Linked DNA regions of Lonchura striata. The main gene of each other region encodes a partner of the protein of the gene in region 2 in a complex. Links are inferred from orthologs where the notes say so. Each region holds a gene or a part of one and is shown on either strand. Other genes may lie near its edges. The genes, in order: LY96 and TLR4.

The links.
Region 1: the proteins of TLR4 (region 2) and LY96 are in contact, whole or in part, in a crystal structure (PDB 4G8A), measured with the Homo sapiens proteins. The link is inferred for Lonchura striata from reciprocal best matches to the Homo sapiens genes TLR4 and LY96. Residues at the interface, in NP_612564.1 of Homo sapiens: Gln39, Met41, Glu42, Asp60, Ser62, Phe63, Asp84, Ser86, Arg87, Thr110, Gly111, Val132, Val134, Glu135, Asn156, His159, Ser183, Ser184, Asp209, Leu212, Arg234, Val259, Glu262, Phe263, Arg264, Asn265, Glu266, Arg289, Ala291, Tyr292; in NP_056179.4 of Homo sapiens: Met40, Tyr42, Ile66, Pro67, Arg68, Arg96, Ser98, Asp99, Asp100, Asp101, Tyr102, Ser103, Phe104, Arg106, Leu108, Lys109, Gly110, Glu111, Thr112, Thr115, Thr116, Ile117.

What each region holds. Positions count from the first base shown.
Region 1 is NC_134603.1:32,169,127-32,179,834, forward strand, and holds LY96 (lymphocyte antigen 96), read right to left. Parts: upstream 5,306-10,708; 5' UTR 5,287-5,305; coding exon 5,193-5,286; intron 4,242-5,192; coding exon 4,152-4,241; intron 3,260-4,151; coding exon 3,131-3,259; intron 2,576-3,130; coding exon 2,523-2,575; intron 1,561-2,522; coding exon 1,459-1,560; 3' UTR 981-1,458; downstream 1-980. UniProt on the Homo sapiens protein: Binds bacterial lipopolysaccharide (LPS). Cooperates with TLR4 in the innate immune response to bacterial lipopolysaccharide (LPS), and with TLR2 in the response to cell wall components from Gram-positive and Gram-negative bacteria.
Region 2 is NC_134624.1:2,202,842-2,213,977, forward strand, and holds the start of TLR4 (toll-like receptor 4), read right to left. Parts: upstream 4,578-11,136; 5' UTR 4,557-4,577; coding exon 4,452-4,556; intron 3,041-4,451; coding exon 2,874-3,040; intron 1,531-2,873; coding exon 1-1,530.

The DNA.
Region 1 (10,708 bases), on a different chromosome or scaffold from region 2:
CTTGGACTACTTGGAATGGTCTATGGAATGAGGGAAAGCACAGATGCTTTGCCACCATCACTTGTAAGTAATTCTGGCTTCTTATCTCCAGTCTATGCATTCTATGCAGTTCTACGTATGTTTTTATTTACTCTTAATCATTTTGCTTTATTTAGCCAAACTACTTATGATTAAACCCACGTTTAAAATGGGGTATCTACAAACTTGGATGTGGGGTTTTTCCTTGACTTTTCTGATAGCAAGTTTGAAAAACATCTTTATGTGTAAAGTGAGATTAAAAGCTTCACTTCTAATTTGCATGCTTGGTATTTGGCAGTCTAAAAGAGGTTGGTTTGTTCTGGCTTTTAATTTTTTTCAGGCATTTGGAAGCAATCTGCTAGACAGCATGAACCAGTAGCCAACACAAAGTGCAGCTTCAATAGCATCCTGTTAGATGGGGAAAAGTCTCTGAACTCACTAAATTCACCAGCACTGCTGTCTGGGGGCTGAGGATGAAAACAGGACAGCACTTTTCCTAAGGACTAAATCTCATACCCCACCAAAGTCTGACTGAAGATCTTGGGTGCAGAGGAGCAACAGAGGGGGCAGATGGGTACTCAGTATTGTCTGCCCAAGGGGCAAAAGCTACAGGAAAACTTTAGAAATGCCTTTGAGGAATAACTGAGGAATTGATCAACCTGTTGTGTGACACCAACCTCCTGCTTCTGAAGGACACAGCTTGTGTAACCTCTGCTCCTCGGACTCTGAGCAAGAGCTAAAAACATTCTAAGGGATTATAGTTGCAGCTCTGGCTGGCTAAATTCAGCTGTACTGTATTAGTGTAACTGGGAACGTGTTCCACTTTGGATTTCATCCACATCAGCTACTACCACATAACAAATTACTCCTCTGTTTCAGTTTGGTGTAAACAGAGCAGAACAATATGAAACATCTGAAGAAACATTAGCAAATAACAGGAGAATAAAAACCATCTCTTAAACTGATTGATTGTACAAGTTTTATTGTTACAAGAAAAGAAAATAACCCAAACAAACCCAAAAAACACCCTTACCACCTCACAGCAGGATTCCCAAATTCAATTGCTGTGTTATTTTAAATTGAATACTGATGAACTTCTGATTCTTGCACTTCAAAATTCTTGATTACTTTATGTCAGCCTGAAGGATCAACTTTTTTGTAACTCAAGGCACAGCACTAAAATGCAAGTCCAGACTGACATCAAGTCAGGGTAGTTCTGTGGCTTAACCAGGATAGCTGATTCCCAGAGATTTGGTGCACGTTGGCCGAGCAACTGATTATGGCTGTGCTACAAATGAGTAAGACTATAAAGCTTCCCAGATAGCACATGATATATTCTGCTTCAGGAAATTCAGACTGCATATTATTTCAGAGCTTGGATTCTAGTTGCTTACAGAAGTGATCTCCATGTTCTGGAATTATTTGAGAAGTTTGTTGCACTCAGAAAAGATCTTGTTTTACTATCATGGTGAAATTCAAGCATATGACCATATTATTCTCAGAATCATCAGAGAATCCTTGCACAACAATACTATAATTGCCCTAAAACACACAAGAAAAAAAAAAATACAATTAGTCCACAATACTGCCTGCTCTTGTCTAAGTGTCTCTTGGAATGGTTCTGGTGATGTATGTTAGAACTGAAAAAAATAGATTCCCATCAAAACTGCTTTCTTGGGTATAGTCAGGTATATGAGTGCATTCAAATAAAACTGTATTCAGCTTTCTTCTCATGGCTGGACTACTGAGGAATGACATTTCCTGGTCTAGCAGAGTCCTATCAGGAAATGTCAAGTCTACCATGAGCTCTTCATCGATATGAGGACAGCTCATGGCAGAGGATGTTCCTGTCCATTACTAGCTCTGGGGCTACAAGAGGTGTTGGACTGTTGGAAGTCCATGAGCTAAGGGGGATGGTGGAGATTTTGGACCAGTAGAAGCTCCTTAGTGCTTTTTTTAGGGATTAATAGGGTTGATAAGGGTCTTGGAAAAGCTCAGACAACTGATGAGGCAGTTGTTAGACAGAATGGCTTAACCTGAGGACTGGTGCTGCCCCTGTTTTAACAGTAGAGCACTACTTTTACTTTTTGGATATTGTTATCTCTCTTCAAACCTTTGAAATGGTTTCAGGGAGTAAGAGAGCAGCATGTGAAAAAAATGTAAAATAAAGAATGAAAAGGGCAGAAGGAATATGAATGGATTTACTCAAACAGGTAAAAAGAAAGAGAATAATTTACTAAACAAAATGGAATAATTAAGGTGATGTTAACTGATTACTTTGGTCTTTTCCTTCATAAAATAAAGGAGGAATGATAGAGGAATAATAACCTTAGAACATCTTAGCATTTCAGAGATGCTACCATTTTAGTGTCATCACTTCTATTATATGAAAGTTTTCTGACATTTCCTCTTCTGTTTTCTACAGTTTTGGTGAACATCTCTCTTCAGAAAAAATATACCTGTAAGTATGTGATTTTACTATTACACAAAACATTGAAAAGTACCTTTGGAAATGCTATTCTTGAGCCTTTAATGTCAAATGCTGATGCAAGTGTTTCTGAAAAACAGAGATAATTATAATACAAAGAGTTACTTAACCATAAAGCCATTAATCAGACTGCCTAAATCACTTCAAAGCAATATGGCATATCTCTCAGCAGCAGTTGCCAATGTCATTTACTCTTTCACTGATAAAGCCCCCGTCTGGTTCTTCTCTCAGAGCTCTGACTTTTTATTGAAACCACATTAGAAAATAGACATTAACCACAGTGCTCCTGCAACATCTCCTCCAGACAAATCCTACTGTGATAACTCCAGTAATTTAACTTGTAATAGTAGTTCACTTGAATGGTAACTGAAGAGAGCTGATACTGATTTTTAAAGAATGGAAAACAGACTGTATTTTGACCTCCTTACAGGCCTTTAGTCCTCATTTATGGAGATGGAAACCGCAGTACAAGGATGTTAAAATAAAGAATTTGGATATTTTTTACTTCAATGGCATTCTGCAATGGGAGAATTGCCTGCTCTGAGGTCTGCCAAGCAAGGTGTAGATTGTAGAGATAAAAACCTGTTTGCATGGGTTGATTGCACCATGTATTTTCACACCAACCTCCTTTCAGTGTTCCACACACTGAGTATTCATCGTCAGCTCCGCTGCAGAGGAGTTCTTTCCAGAAGAGCGCTTTGGCACCATCGTACCAGACATTGAAGACAATCTTCAAAAAGTGGATGTCACTTCCTAATTCAAAAATTGCAAGCAAGAAAATGGTAACTGGTGGGGGAGAAAAGCATATATGGAGACATGCTGTTTAGAAAAAACCTAGATTTTGCCAAAATACTTGGCAAAATACAAATACTTGTGTATTTGTAAGACTACCCCAAAACTAAAAAGGCATATATTTTGAAAACTGCAACTTCCAGAGAAAAAGAAAAAAGATATTGTTGTTTTTAACAACAACAAAAAATTAGTCTTCAAAAATATTTGAGAGAAAAATTTCAAAGTTAGTTTTAATTTCTTCAGTAAAAAAACCAGAGTTCATTCACCTCCACAGCTAATCTAAACACACACTCAAATGAAGACCTTAGTTTTAAGCAGGTGTTGCAAACAAACTATCATGAATGCATCACAAAGATATCTTTCTAGGGAAGCAAACCTAGTGCAGAAAGGGAAATTTATGATACAGCCAGATCCTAAACATTTCATGAGCTGAGCTTGCTGGCTTAAAGCTAGGTTTAAAGATCACAGTTAGGTTTGCACACAAAATCCAGTACCATTTCCAGCTTCTGGAACATACATATTCTCTGCAGAAGTCCTGCCATAGTTCAACGGCCTTATAATACTCTCTCTCCTTTAAAAGATTCGGATCTTCTCCAGGCCAGAAGACCAAAATGCTCATACACCTAAACTGTCACAGATTTGAATGTATAGTGACAGTCTGCGTCCAAGTAAAACTCAAACACATTTTCTCAAATCATCATTTCTGCCCATGACTATAGTTTAGCCACTCCATTTTTAACCCCAGAAACCAATTTCCTAAATCACTTGGCATTTAAGATGAAGTGTCAGTTTTTCAGTTGTATTTCATTTTCAGCATTTCCAGAATATAATTGTCTAGTTAAGAGAGACTCACTTGGAATCCAGGTAAGAGCAGCCTTCCAGACATGTTCGTTGGTCACGCTGCAAGGTGTCAGATTAAACATGAAAGCCTGAGCCATAGAATCTACAGAAAAAAAACATTTCACATTGATAGTTTGAATAGGCTTCTCCATAAAATAATACCAATATACAGTTATACACACAAAAACCATATACATATTTTAAAATGTATTTAAGTTACATGCTATAAAACTATTCAATATATGTGGTAATTATTAAATATGTTTTTTAATTATATTATTAATTATTTTTATATTCAGACAGCAAAACCTTTATCATATTTCTTTAAGTAAAGAGAAGTCAATTTTTGGCTGATGATAATTTGCACACAAAAACAGAAACAAAAGTGCCTTTATTTCTCTTTTGAAGATATACAAACTCTTTTTTAGCACTAAACCAGCATGGTCTTCTACTGAAAATATCCCTACTTATGCTAATCATGCTGACAAGAGCTAAAAAATATTTTTAATGCACTAGCATATTTTCCAAGTAATGTAAATGAACCTTTGAGTAGATTTACTCTGTGACTGACCCACCTTGTATTTTTAAAATACAAAAAATATCAGCCCATGACACAGACAGGGCAAGAAGGAATACACCATGCTGTCTCAGAACCTGATTGGTACCACAGCCTGACAGAATATGACATTCTCTCTTTTTCTCCCACATACTTCAAGCTTTCAATTGTAACATACTGGTTAACTCCATAGTTACAATTCATACAACAGAGTTCTTATGAAACAAATTTAAATCCATTATTTTCTAATATTTCCTGAACAAAAACATCATGTGAGAATAAAATTCTCTCTCTCCTAGCTGCTGAAACCAGCATTGTGGTAAGATTTATGCCTATGAAGTAAAATTCTTTAGCAGGGTGATTAATAACAGAAATATACTTATTCTTTATTTTTCTGTATTCTTCAAGGAAACAAATTTGAAAGAAAATTTACAATCCCTCAGACTACAGTAATTATCCCGCAAATTTAACAAAAGGATTATCTATTTTTTTACTTACCACAAAAAGTATATGACATTTCAAGATCAGATGATGTACAAATTAATTCACTGACTCCGGGGGTGAATAAAATGAACAAAATGAGTCCAAACATAGTTTTACTTTTTTTGCTCAGTATTCGATGGTATAAAACTTCATTTGGGAGAAAGAGGAAGAAAATTCAGCACAGTCATCGTCAGTCACATGTCTTCGGGGAAAGTTCTGTTATTTATCAAATTTTCTGCAATTTTTGTTAATCCTGCTGCAGCACTGTCAGTTATCATTACACTAAATTTTGTTAAGAAAAAGAATTCCTGATTTTGCTGTTACATTTTCCCCAGACAATGCAGTTCAAACCCAGAGTGAAAAAATTAAAGAGAAAACTGTGTGAAATGGGGAAGTGAAACGACATTATGACTACCAGAAGTACATAATGAGCAAGTTTAGTTGACTCATCAGCAGTAGTAAGCAGCTAGTCTCAGCTAATCCCAACTACAGGAACAGATCAAATTAAGCCTAATAGCTCATTCAAGAGAGCAGAACCCCCTCTACCTGACGGGAAACAGAACTAAATATTTTTTCTCAGTATAATGAAATATGGAAGTTTACTGAATTCAATGGAAGAATGACTTACAGAAATTAAGCAAATAATGTTCTCACAAGTTACCTTCTTGGTTTGTGTATATGTCTGCTGACTTCTCTTAGATTAGAAACTATTTATTTTTTAAGAAAAAGAAGCAATACATAAAATAGAGAGGTATTTGAGTTTGATTCATGCTAAGCAGGAAACTCAATAAAAATTCCAATAAATATTACAATCAGTTGTTCTGACTCTTTCCATTCCCCATCACAACACCTAAAAGTTTTTATTCTCACAAATTATGTGCATGCCAGGGTAATAATTTACATATTATAAAGGTAAAGTAGCAAAATATTAAGAAATTGTTTTTCAGAAGTCTGAACATGTAACACAAAAGAAATTTAGGAATAATGATGCACATGAAAACCATGACTGAGTGTGCTCAGAGATAGGGATTGTTCCTAGATTAATTAAGGAAGGTGAAAATTGAATTAAAGGTGCCTGAAAGCACCATTTAATGAGCATGTAATAATTCACAAAATAAAATAAAAATTTGAAAAATTAATGCAGCTATTAAAGCTATTGATTTGGAAATACTGAAGCTATTAGCTCAAGTATTTCCAAATCCTTCTATAGACCACAAGAAGAGTCCCACTGGCCTGGTAGAGATCAAAATGTTAAGAAATTTTCAGTATTTGGCTTTTAAGTGGGAATTCAAAATGATATTACATTCCTGACAGATCCCCAGAGTACATACACCACACTCAGATGTTTGCTGTTGTTTAACAGAATGCTGTAAAACATATAAGCTCTTTGTGATCATAGCAATAACACAGATCTGGTTCAAGATGGACAAATATTGCTTAAAAATAGTAAGACATGCAGTGAAATCGAAATAAATCAGGAGGGCTGTAATAGTTGGAAAAAAGAAATGGAGCAGTAAGACAATCACAAAGGGACAATGAAGCAGCTACAAAAGAAGAGCTGCCTTTTGCACATACAGCCAAAAAAATATTCCTTTCCACCACAAAGCCATGCCCAGTGGTGTGAAGGAGGATAATCTGTGAGAAGCCAAGCCAGGCTCTCTGCTGAGTCTTCTATAAGTCCAACAGGTTTAGCACAAGTCCAAGGTCAGTCTGAAGCGGGCAGGGGGTGGCACTGACTGTACCCCACTGATGTACAAGATTTCCCAGCTGAACGTGGGTGCCTCTGTGGCCAGACTTGGTCTGGCCTTGCTGACCAATGTGTTGGGTGGCTGATGCACTCATGGGCAGAGTGGAAAGAGCACTGAAGTTTGAAAAGATTTTACATAAAGCTCTCTTAATATGAAAGAAGAGAAACTCTCTGCTGAATTGACTTTCTAGACCTGGTTCAAGAATGGGTGTTTTTTTCCAGATACTTGCTGCAGAAGTTATAGATGAGGAATGAGTCCCCCCTGGTGGCTTGGATAGACAGACACATGCAGAAACCTCCTGCTCCTTCCTTATTGCACTTTTATTGCACAAGTCAAGGCTATTCCAATGCTTTAAAAAGTCAGTGTAAGAAAGCTCAATTTAAAAGGATCTGGATGACTAAGTGGGAAAACAGGAACAATAAGCACTATTGGTATCACAGCTAAAATATCCTTTATGGCCATATTTATAAAGCCCACAACCTTGACCACTGTGTTTGGTCAAACTGTCATTAAATCTAAATAATCTAAATTATTTTTAAATACTTCCAGCAAACTCTGTTTTAGATGCTTGTGGTGTTCCATGCCAACATCGATGCTATTCATAAAAGTGACGTCTTGTGACGATCACTGAAGTCCCAAACTAGTGCACTAGTGGTGTGAAGAGTCTGTTCTGCTCCTTTCAAGTCAGTATGCGGATCACTGCAGAAGACTACAAAGTCATACACACTTTACTTTTACAAAATCTTTTTCTTTAGTATATTCTTTTTCTTATATATTCCAATCCAGAAGGAAGGCAAAAAGCAAGGAGAAGCAGAAAGAGCTACACAATAAGGTTACTTCACTGAGGTTTTGTCAGTGAAATACTTCATTTATTTCAAAATCCTTTGCAAGTAAATTCAGTAGGAACCAGCTCTCATATACAATTAACAGTACATAAATTCAAGTCTAAGGAATTTAGAACTTCATACCTATGACTTTTAATTTCGTTGCATCGAGATGCTGATAATAGAAGCTTATTGCAAGTTTCCTCACTGATTTGTAGTTAACATCCTTAAAATAATTCATGATATTTTTATCTTTTTTTTCAATGCATCCAAAAAGGGCTTAACTTACTTTTGATTTCCTTTCAAAATAATCACTTTGTATTTGGATTGTTGGCTGCAGATGAGTACGCTGACCAGATAAGCACTTATAAGTCATTAAAATCTTCCTCAGGAAAGATTTATAATATGCATGATCATCATATCTCATCACAGAAACATAAATAACAGAATAACAGGGGAAGGTATTCCATTTCAAAGTGTTAGTCACACAGAATTAACAATTATATTCTAGCTTTTGGCATGTAACAAAATTTCACTTTAATGGAAAACTCTTTTAAGACATTAACCACATTTGTTAAATAGAGAAAGAGGCAATAATAATTTTCTTTGCAGGACAATTTGTGAATTTTTGAAGTAGATAATTTTGCAACTGGAAGCAGACATTTATTCCTCCTGATTCTGGGTTTAGGGTTGATACTGTAGGCACTATAACATAAAGGGGCTGTATATAAGGCATAAGACTGCATTCAAAAAATAAAAATACACTCAACTATCAGCATGGAGAATAGAAAACTGTAGACTCCTCTCAAATTGCCTCACTCTATTTTTGACACTGTTTATAGTGAAAGTCATGTCCAAGGATACAATAAAGAGGTAGAGGATTCATTTCCTCTGCAGGCAACTGATGAACTGCTCGAGGGTACCATGGGAGTCAAAACAAAGAGCAGGGCACTGGCACATATCCAGTGGTGCATTGGTAGCATTTGAGTAAGAAACCAAAGAGTTTTTGAAATATAGAAAAAGTGCTGTGCATTACACTGAATACGTTTTGTTAAATGCTGTATGAACTTTGCCTTAGTGGTTTGATTTGAATATATCACATTAAACCACTGGAGACTATTAAATTGTAGCAAACACATACCAGGTGGTATGGTTTTCCTGTGCAAACTATTATGTTGGAAATTACTCCCTGCCTCTTGCCAGTAGCCTTGGTTTATTCTCTGCAAGCCAAGTTTAGGACTAAATCTTACAGTTGTACTCTGAAGTATTCATTAGACTATTAAAATTGCTGAAAAGAAAAGAAAGTAGAGGATGAAGGGACAAGAAAGGGAGGTGTCCTACCTGAGGCTCACAGTATGCACACCACAGCAACACTTTCCATCCCGAATTCTAGAAAGGGAGACAGCTGGACATGTTTTGCAGCTGTTTGCTCTTGTTCTCTGCTATTCCCTGCTTAAAATAGCTGCTTGCTGAGGTCTGTGTAGCTCTGAGATAATCTTATTATAGTGGATCCAACTCACAGCTAAGCACACTTGTCCCGTTTCTCATGCAGGCTGAAGCAGGCTATGCTGTACATGGGGGAATGAAGAAATCCATGGTATGAGGGATGAAGAAATTTGTGGTATGGCCACAGAACTCCAGAGCAACCAACTTACAGCAGTTTACCAAGTTTCCACCCTATTAAGTTATACTGAGCAGTTGTAGTAATTCACATGTCTGCTCTTAATTTTTACAGCACAAAGAAACTTCCATGAATTTTCCATCACCTAAATTAAGCCCTCATGGTTTCATGCAAAAATTTATAGATTTTCTTAATCTTTGCCAATGTGATGTCTTTGCTCCATTCAAATTAGTTACCTTTTAATTCTACAGAGTGTGGTTAAGAGTGTGAAGTACCTCAGAGCTTTAAAGATTTCTCTTTGAAGTATCAAAAAGGGATCATTTTCTCATAAAAAATTTTACATTTGCAAGAAAAGGATGAGGGTTATGAGATACTTTAATTTAAAAAATAACTTTAAAGTATGACAAGGAGCTTTGTACTTTATAATTAAGAACAGATAGGGACTAATGAAAAATAATGTGGACAAAGCCAAAAACTTGAGAAACGGAGAGGGTCACTAGCAAGAAAATAACACATAGTCAAAGACTGAAAAGAAAAATTTGCATATATCCTAACTGTTCTTCAAAGGGAAAAGAAAAAAGAAAAAAGCCAGTCATCCATGACCTTTTGTGGAAGCTTTTAAGGCTGGAAGGGCATAGAAAGAATGTGTCTAGGAAGGAAACTTCAGTAATTTCATACAGAATAACAGAATTAACTAGGTTGGAAAAGACCTCTGAAATCACCGAGTCCAACCTATGACCAAACACCACAGTGGCAACTAGACCAGGGCATTGAGTGCCATATCCAGCCTTTCCTTAAACACCGCCGGGGACAGTGACTCCACCACTTCCCTGGGCAGCCTGTTCCAATTTCTAATCACCCCTTCTATGAAGAAATTCCACCTGATGTCCAACCTGAACCTCCCCTGGCATAGCTTGAGGACATTTCTTCTCATCCTGTTGCTGGTTGCCTGGGAGATCAGCAATCCTCCATCTGCCTACAGCCTCCTCTCAAGCCTCCTTTTCTCCAGCCTAAACAATCCCAGCTCCTTCAGCTGCTCCTGTCAGGACTTACCTTCTAGAGCCTTCACCATCTTCATTGCTCTCCTGTGGACACACTCCAGCACCTCAACACCCTCCCTGAATTAAGGGGCCCAAAACTGAACACAGTACATGAGGTGGCCTCACCAGTGCCGAGTGAAGTGGGGGCAATCACTGCCCTGGTCCTGCTGGCCACACTGTTAGTGATACACATTGATACATTCCTGCTCTTCATACCAGTTTGAGTGAAACTGGGACCAGGATAAGATGTGTCCCGATGCTATGGACAAGTGATTGGTTGGTCCTGAAAAGGCTGCTG
Region 2 (11,136 bases):
CATTTCAGAAAGTCCAGGTACACACAGGAACAGTCAAAGAGGTTTTGAGAGATATCCAACAGGACCAGGCTATCAGGCAGGATTTCCCTGGCTGGGTCCAGCAGAACAGTCAGCTGGTTTCTGCTGAAATCCAGGACTCTGAGGGCTTGCAGTGGCTGGTAGACTACAGGATCAAAAGTCAGCAGCTTATTGTTGCTGATGTTTAGCTCTTTTAGCTCAGACAGGGCATCAAAAGTACTTTGATCCACATGTTCTAATTTGCAGCTTGAAATATCCAAGGTGTGGAGGTGACTTAGGTTTTTGAAGTTGTTTGCCAGCTTATTGTCTGCAAAGGAGTTTCCTGCCATCTTGAGCACTTGCAAAGAGTTCAAGCCACAAAATGTACACTGGGATTTCACTTCGGTTTTGGTGTAGGAAATATCCAGGTAAATCAGTCTCTGAAGGGACAGAAAGACAGGGTAGGAGCCAGGACCAAATAAGGTTGTGTGCTGAAGGTCCAAATATAACAAATTCTTCACATTAGTGAAATCTCCAGTCAATCTGATATTAGAATTGAAGCTTAAGTTCAAGTGTTTCAAATTTGGACAATTTTGGAACTGACGGGAACAGCAGCTGCTGAAGGTGAGTCTGTTCTCACTCAAATCAATGACCTCCAGGTTACTGAGACCCACAAATTTCTGCTCGAAGGTTTTGAGACTTTTGTTCTCAGTAATACGAAGCACTCTCAGCTCCTTGAAAAGTGACAGCTTCTGGGCAGGCATATCCTCAAAATCGCATTTCTTGCATTCCAGCTGTCTCACTTTAGACCACAGAGGAACCTGTGATATCTCCTCCAGTCCGAGGTCCACCAGGCGAATAGTGGAGACGTTGCCTACGCAGTTGAAGAGAGTGTCTGTGTCATCCTCAATCCCCCGGAGGCAGATTAAGACAAACTCTTCCATCTGTACCTGGCACAGTCCATCCAAGAGCCTCCCCTCAAAGTCCTGCAGTCTCTCAATATTCCTGAACTCCCCAACTATGAGTCTGCTGACCTGCAAACCAGCCAGGCCTTGCAGAGCAGTTTGCATCGTGGATTTCTCAAAAGCAGACCTGAACGCCAGCTCGGCGAGGTGAATCCCTGCAAAGGCCCCTGGCTCTATGGATTTGATATTGTTCAAGGAAAGCACCAGCGTGAGGTTGAGCCTGTTCCCTCCCCTCAGGGCATCAAGGTCTCCTCTGGAGATAGATGTGATTTTGTTAGAGGAGAAGCTCAGGTGCCTGAGGGAGGTCATGTTGGTGAAATACTTGGGAAGCTTCAATGAAGTAATGCTGTTGTGGCCTAAATTCAGCTCCTGCAGAGTATGCAAGTGGCCAATAGGCAGCTCAGACAGAGAGGTCCTGTTGGTTTCCACCAGAACCAATTTTTTCAGAGATGTTAGGCCATAGAAAGCTGCTTTCCCCAGGTGCTGGAAGGAATTGGCAGTTAAAACCAAGGTGGAAAGTCTAGGGAGGTCCATAAAGGAGTTATCTTCTATTGTATGGAGGTGGCACCTGATGGGAATGAAAAGAAAATATAAATATATGAAACACTGTCCCTTCCTTGTTCACTGAGTGCTGCTGTGACACCCTCAGGCTCAGCCTCACACTGGGGCTGGTTTGGCTTTGCTGTGCTGGGCAGAGCCAGCACCCCTGGATATGCAAAGGGAGCGCTCCTCCAGCAGGAGACCTCCTCTCACCTTCTCCTCTCCAATCTTAAATTCAAAGCAAGACACCTGGAGACCTGGTGAAGATCAAAAATTTGTGCAGCCAGCGGGAAAGAAGAATCCTAGCCATCAGTTTAGGCCAAAGTGACACTGTGATGACAATGATGTGACTGTGTGCTCACTTGGAGCTCACATACCTCCAAACAGGGATGGAGGAGGCAGCCTGACAGCGGGGACAGGACAAATCACTGATGGAAGAACCAACCAGAGCCAGCATTCCCTCACCCCTGGCATCCCCCAGCCCTCTGACTGCCACCTCAGCCACACCTGGGCAGCCCCACTGGCACCAGAGCTCACAGCTCTGTCAGCAGCTGATCTCTGCTGATGGCTCAGAGGCAGCAGAGCCCGGCTGTGCTGCCTCTGAAAGAGAAAAGGAAGAGGGGAAAATGAGCATGGCCCCCTAAGGTTTGTTTGATGTGGGAAGATCCAGAAGTTGAGACCCAAATCCATTCTGCAGCGAGTCCCAGCAGAATTAGTTTAATAATCCAGGCAGTGCCTCACAGCAAACGTGCTCTGCCACTCAGCCACTTTGGAGCTAGAGCTGTGACGGGGCTGAGTGACATTTCTCAGTGAAACAATTTACCTGGAGAAACTGTTGTCTGAAGTCAATGGAAATTATACATCAATTCAAATTTGCTAATAGGCCTCCCCCATCTCCTCCCCCAGATATGTGAGGAGAAGGCAAAAGAGAATATGTTGATATTTTAAAACAGCCTTTTAGAAAATGAATGTACCTTCATGGTTTTTTTTTTTAAACTGTGATTAGAAAAACAGCTCACCCAAGATGTTCCACTTCAGAGTTTTTGTAACAGTGAAAAGTCTGACATTTTTCTTGTTCACAGACAAGTGAAACATCTTCCTCCTCCTTCTCACATTGCAACCTACAAGATCAGACTGACAGACCCAGCTCTGAGAGGAGGGTGTGCACTCAGTGACTGGACTAAAAGTTGCACATCACCACGGGGATGTGCAAAATGACAGACACAGGGACAAAGTCACAAGAAAAAAACATAAACAGCCAAGACCAATAGACCCCAAAATAAGCCACCATTGTAACCCAGCTGGTGAAGAAAAATTTACCACGTATATTACGTGTATTATATTACGTATCCACGTAATAGATCCCACTACCTTGAAAGATCCAGAATCTGCAGCTCAGGGACTGATGCAAAATAATTTGACCCCAGTGATTTCAGATTGCTGAAACTGAGGTCCAGGTTCTGGGTGGTGTTTGGGACTCCATCAGGAACTCCAGAGATGTTCAGTCCAGTGCATCTGAAAGTTGTGTTAGGGGTGATCTGAAAAGAGGCAGATCCCATCATGGTCAACATCTGCTCTTCATGGAATGCCAGAAAATGTCACTGTCAGGAGAGCAGGAGCAGAATGACCCCCTTTATAGTGCAGTTCTAAAGGAGCTCCCCTGAGTTTTAGGAAATAACCTTACACACCCTAAACATTTTTCTAATTCCTAATAGAAGCAGTCCTATTCTCCAAGAAGAGCTGCATTTCTTGCTGACTGAAGCTGGGACAAAACTACAGAATAGCATTCCCTGAGGTTACAGATGAACCAGCAGCAACCTTTGAGAGAGCCAGCAGGACAAACACTCATGGATGCACTGCATGTCCAGGAACAGCTCTCAGCCCTCTTCCCCTGCACATAACCAGGCAGATTGAACCAAAGTTATTCTGCAAGCAAATAATTGTCAGCAAAACTTTGCAAAAGGCAGTTGGTCCTTGTCAGGTACTTGGTGAAATCACTCTACTGCACAAACCAGGCAAAAATCTGTGTTTTGTAGAAATTAGACAAGTTTGGATCCCTTCCAAGGGAAATATAATCTATTACAATAACTGCACTGCAGCACTGTCGGAATCCAGGGCTTCCCTCTGGCTGCCCTGGCAGGTCTGGGACCCTGGCAGGGGTCAGGAACCCCCCTGGACAGAGCCCCCAGAGACACTGGCTGTGATCTCTGGCCATGGAAAAGACTTTTCAATCTTACAGGATCAATTACCAGCTCTGAGTGTTTGATGTAAGTAATAATTAAGTGTGGCATGGGTGCAAAAGTAAAATTTTAGGATTCTAGATGAGGGGTCCAAAGGGGACAAGATGGAGGAAATTGGGTGTGCCTTGTCCTTCTTCTCCTTCTTCATGCCCTCCATGTTTCACTGTGGTGTTGGCATTTTTTTGTTCATTCAGGCTGGGGACACACTGTCCAACGTAGGTGACAGATATTGGCACGTTCTTGTAAATGCAGCCCAGGGAGTTTCTGGTATTTAATGTTTGTAACATCCCACTGAGGGCAGAGCCCCACACGCTGCCCTGCAGGACAGAGCTGGGCAGGGCAGCAGAACATGTGAGAGATAAACAGAATAAACAACCTGGAAACCAGCACAGACCAATTATGGCTTCTGCTTTGGCAGCGGGGCTGACAGACAGAGACTTTCTACAATCTCAGGATCATCAATAGCTCAGATTCTGACACAGCACCCTCAGAGTTTCAGAAAGCCAATGAGAAGAAAAAATTCTTGCTGCTGGTTCTGGTTCTCAGATGTTTTCGAGACTAGAATTTACTTCAATCACCTTGATAATAACCTTGGGGGGAAAAAAAATCTGGGCTTTCCTAAGAGACTTGAGGCACAAATCTCCCAAGCAAAGAGAAAAGTTGCACCAGAGAGACAGAAGGATTTTGTGCTCACTCAGAGCTCACATACCTCCAAACAGGGATCCAGGAGGCAGCCTGCCAGTGGGGATGGGACAAATGCCAGCTGCAGCAGCACCAGGAGTGTCCCCACAGGAAGGGCTCCTCTCCTGGGCATCTTCAGGAGGCCAGGAGTGCAGGAGAAAGGAGCATGGAGAGAGAAACCTGGAGACAGAAAGCTCCTGCAGTGCCAGGAGTTGTGTTTCATCACTCCTGCTTCTCACTGCACATCTCTGAGAGCTGCAGAGAACGAGGAAGGAAGTGAAGCTTGGCCAGTGACTTGTTTCTACACACACTCGGGGTGAATTGCTCTTCTTGCAATTGTTAAAAAAAAATAGCCAAGAAGGAAAAAAGAAGTAATGATGGATATAGTTTGGGCTAGAAATTGAAGAGGAATATGGGTTTCATCAGTGCCACTTGACTTGATTGCCTCTGATTAGCTCAGGTCAAATTGGCAAAAAAAAAAAAAAACAAACCAACAGAATATTTTGTGCAATTCTGAGCCCAGTTCCATGCTCCACATCCCATAATTCAAATGCACTGGTTAGAGAGGGTGACTCTGCCTTTGCACTCCTGCCATGCTCCCAGCTTCAGCCTTGCAAGCCCTGGAGAAGAGCTCAGCTTTGGCAGAGGTTTTCTCAAGCCAGATAAACACAGGTTTATCTCTGGCCAAGCTCTTGTGGTTAAACATCCAGGTTTTACCAACCTGGTTGGGCCTTTATTGCAATTATTGCAGGAATATGGCCAGGCACAAGGAGATTCACAGAGGGATCAGAGGTGTGGTCACAGAAATTCTACCCCTCCCCACCCTTGCCAAGTTGCTGGGGCAGCAAAAAGGAGAGGCACAAACACCTGAGCTGGACTTAGAGCTGCTCCCTGCCCTGCTCATGCCTGAATCTCTGTTTGATGCCTGCCTACAGAACATCTCAATGCTGAATTCCCAATGCAGACCATTGTTTCAGGGGAAAAAAAAAAGCTTTGTAAAACCTCACTGTGGGCAATATTAATTTAAGTCAGCTGTGAGCCTTCTAATAAAGCTCTCTGCCTTCATTTAGTCTGATAAATGGTTGTGCATTCATGTATCTCCTCCTGTCTTTGTGGAGATAACTAAGAAATGTTACAGGGGATCCAGCTATAGGGTTGCTGGGTATTATCAACACCACATAGACAGAAGTGGCAAAAATATGAGACAAGGGTGGAATATTGGTCTAGAGGAAGATGGAATAAAGTGTGACGACTCATGAACGTCTGTGAAAATTGATATTAAATATAAGATGCGATATCAGCCCAGTGAGTGATCCACTTATAAAGAAAACTTAAAAATATTTCAGAAGTGGGGGTTAGACTTTTTTGACAGGTAGTAGAGAGCCTAGGAGAGATGGGGAATCCTAAAATAACTGATGATCTCTGCAATAAAAAAACACATGGCAGCACAATGGGAGCTAAAACCGACACCCTGATGTGCAGCCAGATAGTGCCCATTAAGCCAGCAGACAAAAAGTTTGTTGAAATTGGGCAAGTTCTACAAAATCCCTGCTCTGAAAAGCCTCTGGTGATTGCAGGTATTTCCTTTTATAGATGGAATCAAAAGTGAATGGAAACAATTGCTGACTGCTTCTGTGCCTGGATTAAGGAAATTGGCAGAGCATCGTGTGTCTGCAGAGAGAACAAATGAGTGCATCCCTTAGTATTCAATATGTGGAATGAGGCAATCCACATTTAATTTTTATCTAAAGCTGAGATGAGCCTGAAGTATGCTCCAGAAATTACCATTTCAATGGAGACTTACTGAAGATGCTGAAGAGTTTGGGAGCATCACAAAATCCCTCCCACAGCCACACTCACAGGTCAAGTGGGAAGTGCAGCTTGAAGGGCATTCAAAGGAGGCACTGCTGCTGTCACAAGGGACAGTTTCACAGCACACATCGTAATTTGTTCAAGGATAAGTCCTACAGACACTGCAAGGGACGGGGCACTAGCAGAAAACATGCAAGTTAGCAGACCAAACCCAGCCACCAGTTTAGAAAGTCAGTGCTGGTTAAGTTCATGTTTCTCAGCTGGCACGCAGCAGCGTGGATAAAGCCATAATGTCTAAGTGATTGTTCACAAACACCAAAAGAATGATTTGGAATCCCTTAAAGTGACATGAATAACATCTAAAGACAAACACGATTCACTACTCTGGCAATTTACTGGGATCATTAAAGAGCTCTCAGCAAGGAGGTGTTGCAGAGAATCTGTGTTTCCAAAAACACGTGCCTGAGTCATCTCTGTGCTCCTGAACATTATTATAATATAAATAACACAATGCAGACAGTGCATATGCAGCCTCTGTGATCTCAAGCAAGGTATTACAGAGTATAAGACAGACACAATGTAGCTGGACTGACAAGACAACTTATACTTACTTATTTTAAAAGAAAATTATTTGTGAACTCCAGCTGAAAAACAAAGTTAGCCAGAAACCCTTGGACAAGTGGTGAGAGCCATAAAAACAGGATTGTCTGTCCCTGGGGTGATTTCAAGGTCACAGTTAACCCAGTACCACGTGCAGATGAGCAGCTCTTGCCCTGGAGAGCGGCTCTGTTTGCTTCAGGAGTCATCTCAAGCACTTCCCCAAGTCTGTCTGCAAACAGAGGCTGAGGAACATGACAGAAACTATTTCAAGGTTAAACAAAACCAGGTCTTATTTTACGTGAAAAAAACATCTCTAACAATTATTTGATTATGAGCTGTGCATCAGAGGGCAGAGATTGATGGATGAAAGAGGAGGGAGCATTCCTGAGGTGCTGGCATTTTCACAGCACACGACTTGTGGAGCTCGGGGAGCACCACGAGAGGCTCCAAAAGTCCTTGAGAAGCTCAGGATGCACCAGGTGAGCCAGCACTGCTCTCAGGTGGGCTGGCCACATGTCCCTTCCTAACTATCACAGAGACAGCCTTGCAGTCACCTGTGGTGAATGAGGCTGAAATCAGACACTCTGCAGGACGGATCCAGGCTCAGGGGGTGCAGGCAGCTACCAGGCCTTGGGGTTCACCTGACAGTCCTTATTCTCAGCAAGTCACTCACCTGTCCAGGTCTGAAAGGTTGTCAGAGTGGACAGGAAACGTGGCACAAATTTAACAGCAAGTTGAATTTTCCCAGCCATTCTGCTGGGAAAAACAGTTTATATAAATTACAACGAAAAATGGCAGAAAGAATAGTCTGAAAACATCTTTAAGATCTTTTTGCTGCACATTCCACAAACATTCCATTGCTTCCTGAACCTGGAGAGTCACTGCCTTGCTCAGTAAGCCCTGCCTGACCTGGCAGGCACAGGACACAGGACAGAGGCAGTGCTGGTGCACACAGAGCCTGCACCAAGGCTGGGAGGGAGCTGAGACACTGATTGCATCAGGACAGGTCCTAGAGAGCTGCCATGCCTGTAACTCTCACTTGTGATGCTTCCCATGTGAAGCTGATGCCTAAAGAGGCTGACCTGGAATAGAGACTGGGCAGACTTAAAGGAATAATAGGGATTTATTAAACTGCCTTCATAGGATACACCTTGGGCAGTGCAAGAGCCTGGCTGTGGCTCTGCCCACCATGGACACAAGATTGCAAACCAGTCATGAGTTGTCGCACTTTTATAAGTTTTGGTCCATTTCCATATTGGGGTTCATTGTCCAGTTCCAGCTCCAGGTTATGCAGTCCCATCCTCACAGTCTGATCTCCTCAAGTCCCTGTTGTTGTACCCCTTGAGCCTAAAGCTGCAAAGGTGTCCTTGGTGATCAGGCTGGAAAAGGATTGTTCTGTCTGACTGAACTGTGAGGAGAACTTGCTAACACTTTGTATGAAGCTCTGAGTCACACACTAAGGCAAGTGCAGAATCTAAAAAATATGAAAGTTAAAACTTGAAGCATCAAAGTGGGTCTAATAATGGAATCACAGACTGGTTTAGATTGGATGGAGCCCTCAAGTTCATCTCATTCCAAGCTCTAAGCTCCATCCAGCTTGGCCTTGGCCACTTCCAGGGATGGGGGAACCACAACTCACACTTGATGGAAGATCAGCCTGGAAGAGCTCCTGCCTCTACTTCTGGATCTCCCAGCTTTGAAAAAAAGAGCAACACTCAGGCTGAGAAACTGCACATTAAATTTGGGGTGTCAGACCCAAAGAAGACCCAGCATCACTTCTCTCTCTGCCTGATTGACTCCAGCTGCAGTTCCAGAGCAAGGAGATCTGTCATGCAGGTTGCTTGTGGTGCCTCTGAGTGTCCAGGAAGGGCATGGAGGTGGCATCACAGTTTCTTCATGGTGGCACCTAGCAGAGTTCAGCATGGCTGAGGTGTTCCCCATTACACAGAAGGACTGAGACTGGTGTACACAGGGGCAGAAAAACAACCCAAAAGCCAGAGTCCAAGTTGGTTTGATGAAAATCAGCCAAGCCTGCACTGGAGTAGGCAATGTGTGCCATCAGGTGGGCTATTCTCAAAGCCAAGATCATATGAACACCCCAGAACTATTCCAAAGCTATTAGAGAAGAACTGTGTCAAGTAACCAGGGACAAATACACTACTAGAAGAAGTGATTAATCAGTGTCAAGATAGTCACTATCTGTGGCAGCTACTCCATATGGATTATGTCAGGTCATTAGGAGCCCTACATTTCACTGTTTAATCTAAATGGCTGGAAGGATTTCACACAGATGGTGGAGGCATCCAGCCTGGCCTGCCAAGCATTCATGGGCAGGCAGTGAGTGACAGTGGAGCCCCCTGGACCCCTGGAGAGAGGCAGGCTGGCACCAAACAGCCCAGCAGCACCTTGTCCTTCTGTCTGGGATGAACCACGGTTCCCCCTGGGCTGGCCAGAGCCAGGGATTCACTGGCACCATGGAGGTGAGGGTGGGCACAGTGCCTTGGCATGGAAATGTGCTTAGAGGGAGTAGAAATTCCTCCCACAGCCCTGAGAAAGGTGGATTGGCCACCTCAGACTGGTGCTGGCTTTTTTACTAAATCAACAATGGGACTTATTTTATTTTTCTTTCCCCCTCCATTACAACTTTATTATGGTGTCTCATAGCCTGATATACATATGTTTTGTATTTCTGTGGCTTTGATTTGTCCTGGTTATTCTACCTCCTCTCCCCCACTTCTCTTAATGAGTCTACTGTAGGGCAAGGGTTTATTCAGACTATCAAACATGAAAGGTGTGTAGGGCACGGAGCACTGCAGAGCTCAGACTTTCTAAACTGGACACAGGAAAGGTTGATCTGGGGACTCAGCGCCACAACTGAAGCATGATTAAATATCAAGCCCCTGCAGCACTGCTGTGACACTCTGGGAAAGCTTGAAACAAGGGGCAGCTCTAATGATGATCTGGGGAGATTACAGATCCCTGCTTTGAGGGACAACCATACCATAAGAGCAAAAAGCTGTGTAGCAGCCCTGCTTTCTGTCAATCCTGAGAGCACTGCCACGGGCACTGACCGTGCCAAGACTCCTGAGCCTCATGGTTGTGGTTTCACTGCCATGACCTGACACTGGATGACAGGAAAATGTTGCAATGGCTGCAGAAGAAAGTGCAGACCCAGCTCCTGTAAACCGTGGCAAAGTTCTTGTGTACACATTACCCGAAGAGAAAATGCAAACATTCCCTGGGGTTACTTCAGCTTTAGACATCAGCTCCCACACTTCAACACTTTTATGGCATTTGCCAGGAGAAGAACACAGAATGTAAATTGTCTGCAGTGCTGAGAGCCCACTTCCATTACTGCCACAATAAATAAATAAATATTTGTTTATTTATAATAATAAATTCCAAAAGAGTGGGCGAGACAGATCCAGATGCAGGATTGCCTGCACTTGGAGGGCTGTATATTGGAATCTACAAAACCTGGGTGGTTATTCCGTGCTTTTTGGAGAGCAAAGACTTATTTGTGCACAGAGTATAAAACCTGAAGCAGTGTTCCTGATGGTGAATTTATTCAAACACTCCTTTTCTCTCAGTTCTGCTTAGTTTGCACATTTTGGGGGGATTTTTTTAAGCATTTCCTTGTCCTTGAGTTGCCTGCACCAACCAGGACAAAACCACTTCTGTTCCCACAGAGGAGGAACCCAGCAGCCACAAGCAGGGAAAGCATAGGAAGAGCATTAACCCTTTGTAGATCACAAGGCTGGGTGCTATGGAAAGCTGTCAGGAAGCAGGGCTGAGATACCAGAGGGGAAGTTACCAGGAAAAGGAGTGACAAAAGGACACAGCAAATACCCTGACAGCCTGACCACAGTGAAGGGGAGGGAGGGAGGAAGGAAATGTGAGGAAAAGCAGAAGTTTCCCCTCCCACGGACTGATGTTTCCACACCTCAAATGAAGCTGCTGTCAGAGACACAGCCTGATCCAAAGCAAACCAGCCCCACTTTTAGGGTTTGCCCTCTAATAGGTGGGCAGGAAGGGTGCTCTTCCCAAGGAACAGCCAGCTAAGAGGCTGCAGCAAGGTGCTTGTACAGCAGCAAATCCATCACTCTAGGTCCTTTCTGCTGCAGAAGCAGCATTCTGGAGAGGCTGCAACTGAGGTAAACCCATGAAGGTGACAGGACACGAATAAAGCAGCAACAAGGGAAGTAAAGGAGGGGGAACATAACATAAATATAGCTGCATCCTGGGAGAAAGCAGAAGGTGTGGCTCCAGAGTTGGAATGTGGGCAAGAGCCACTGTTGCCC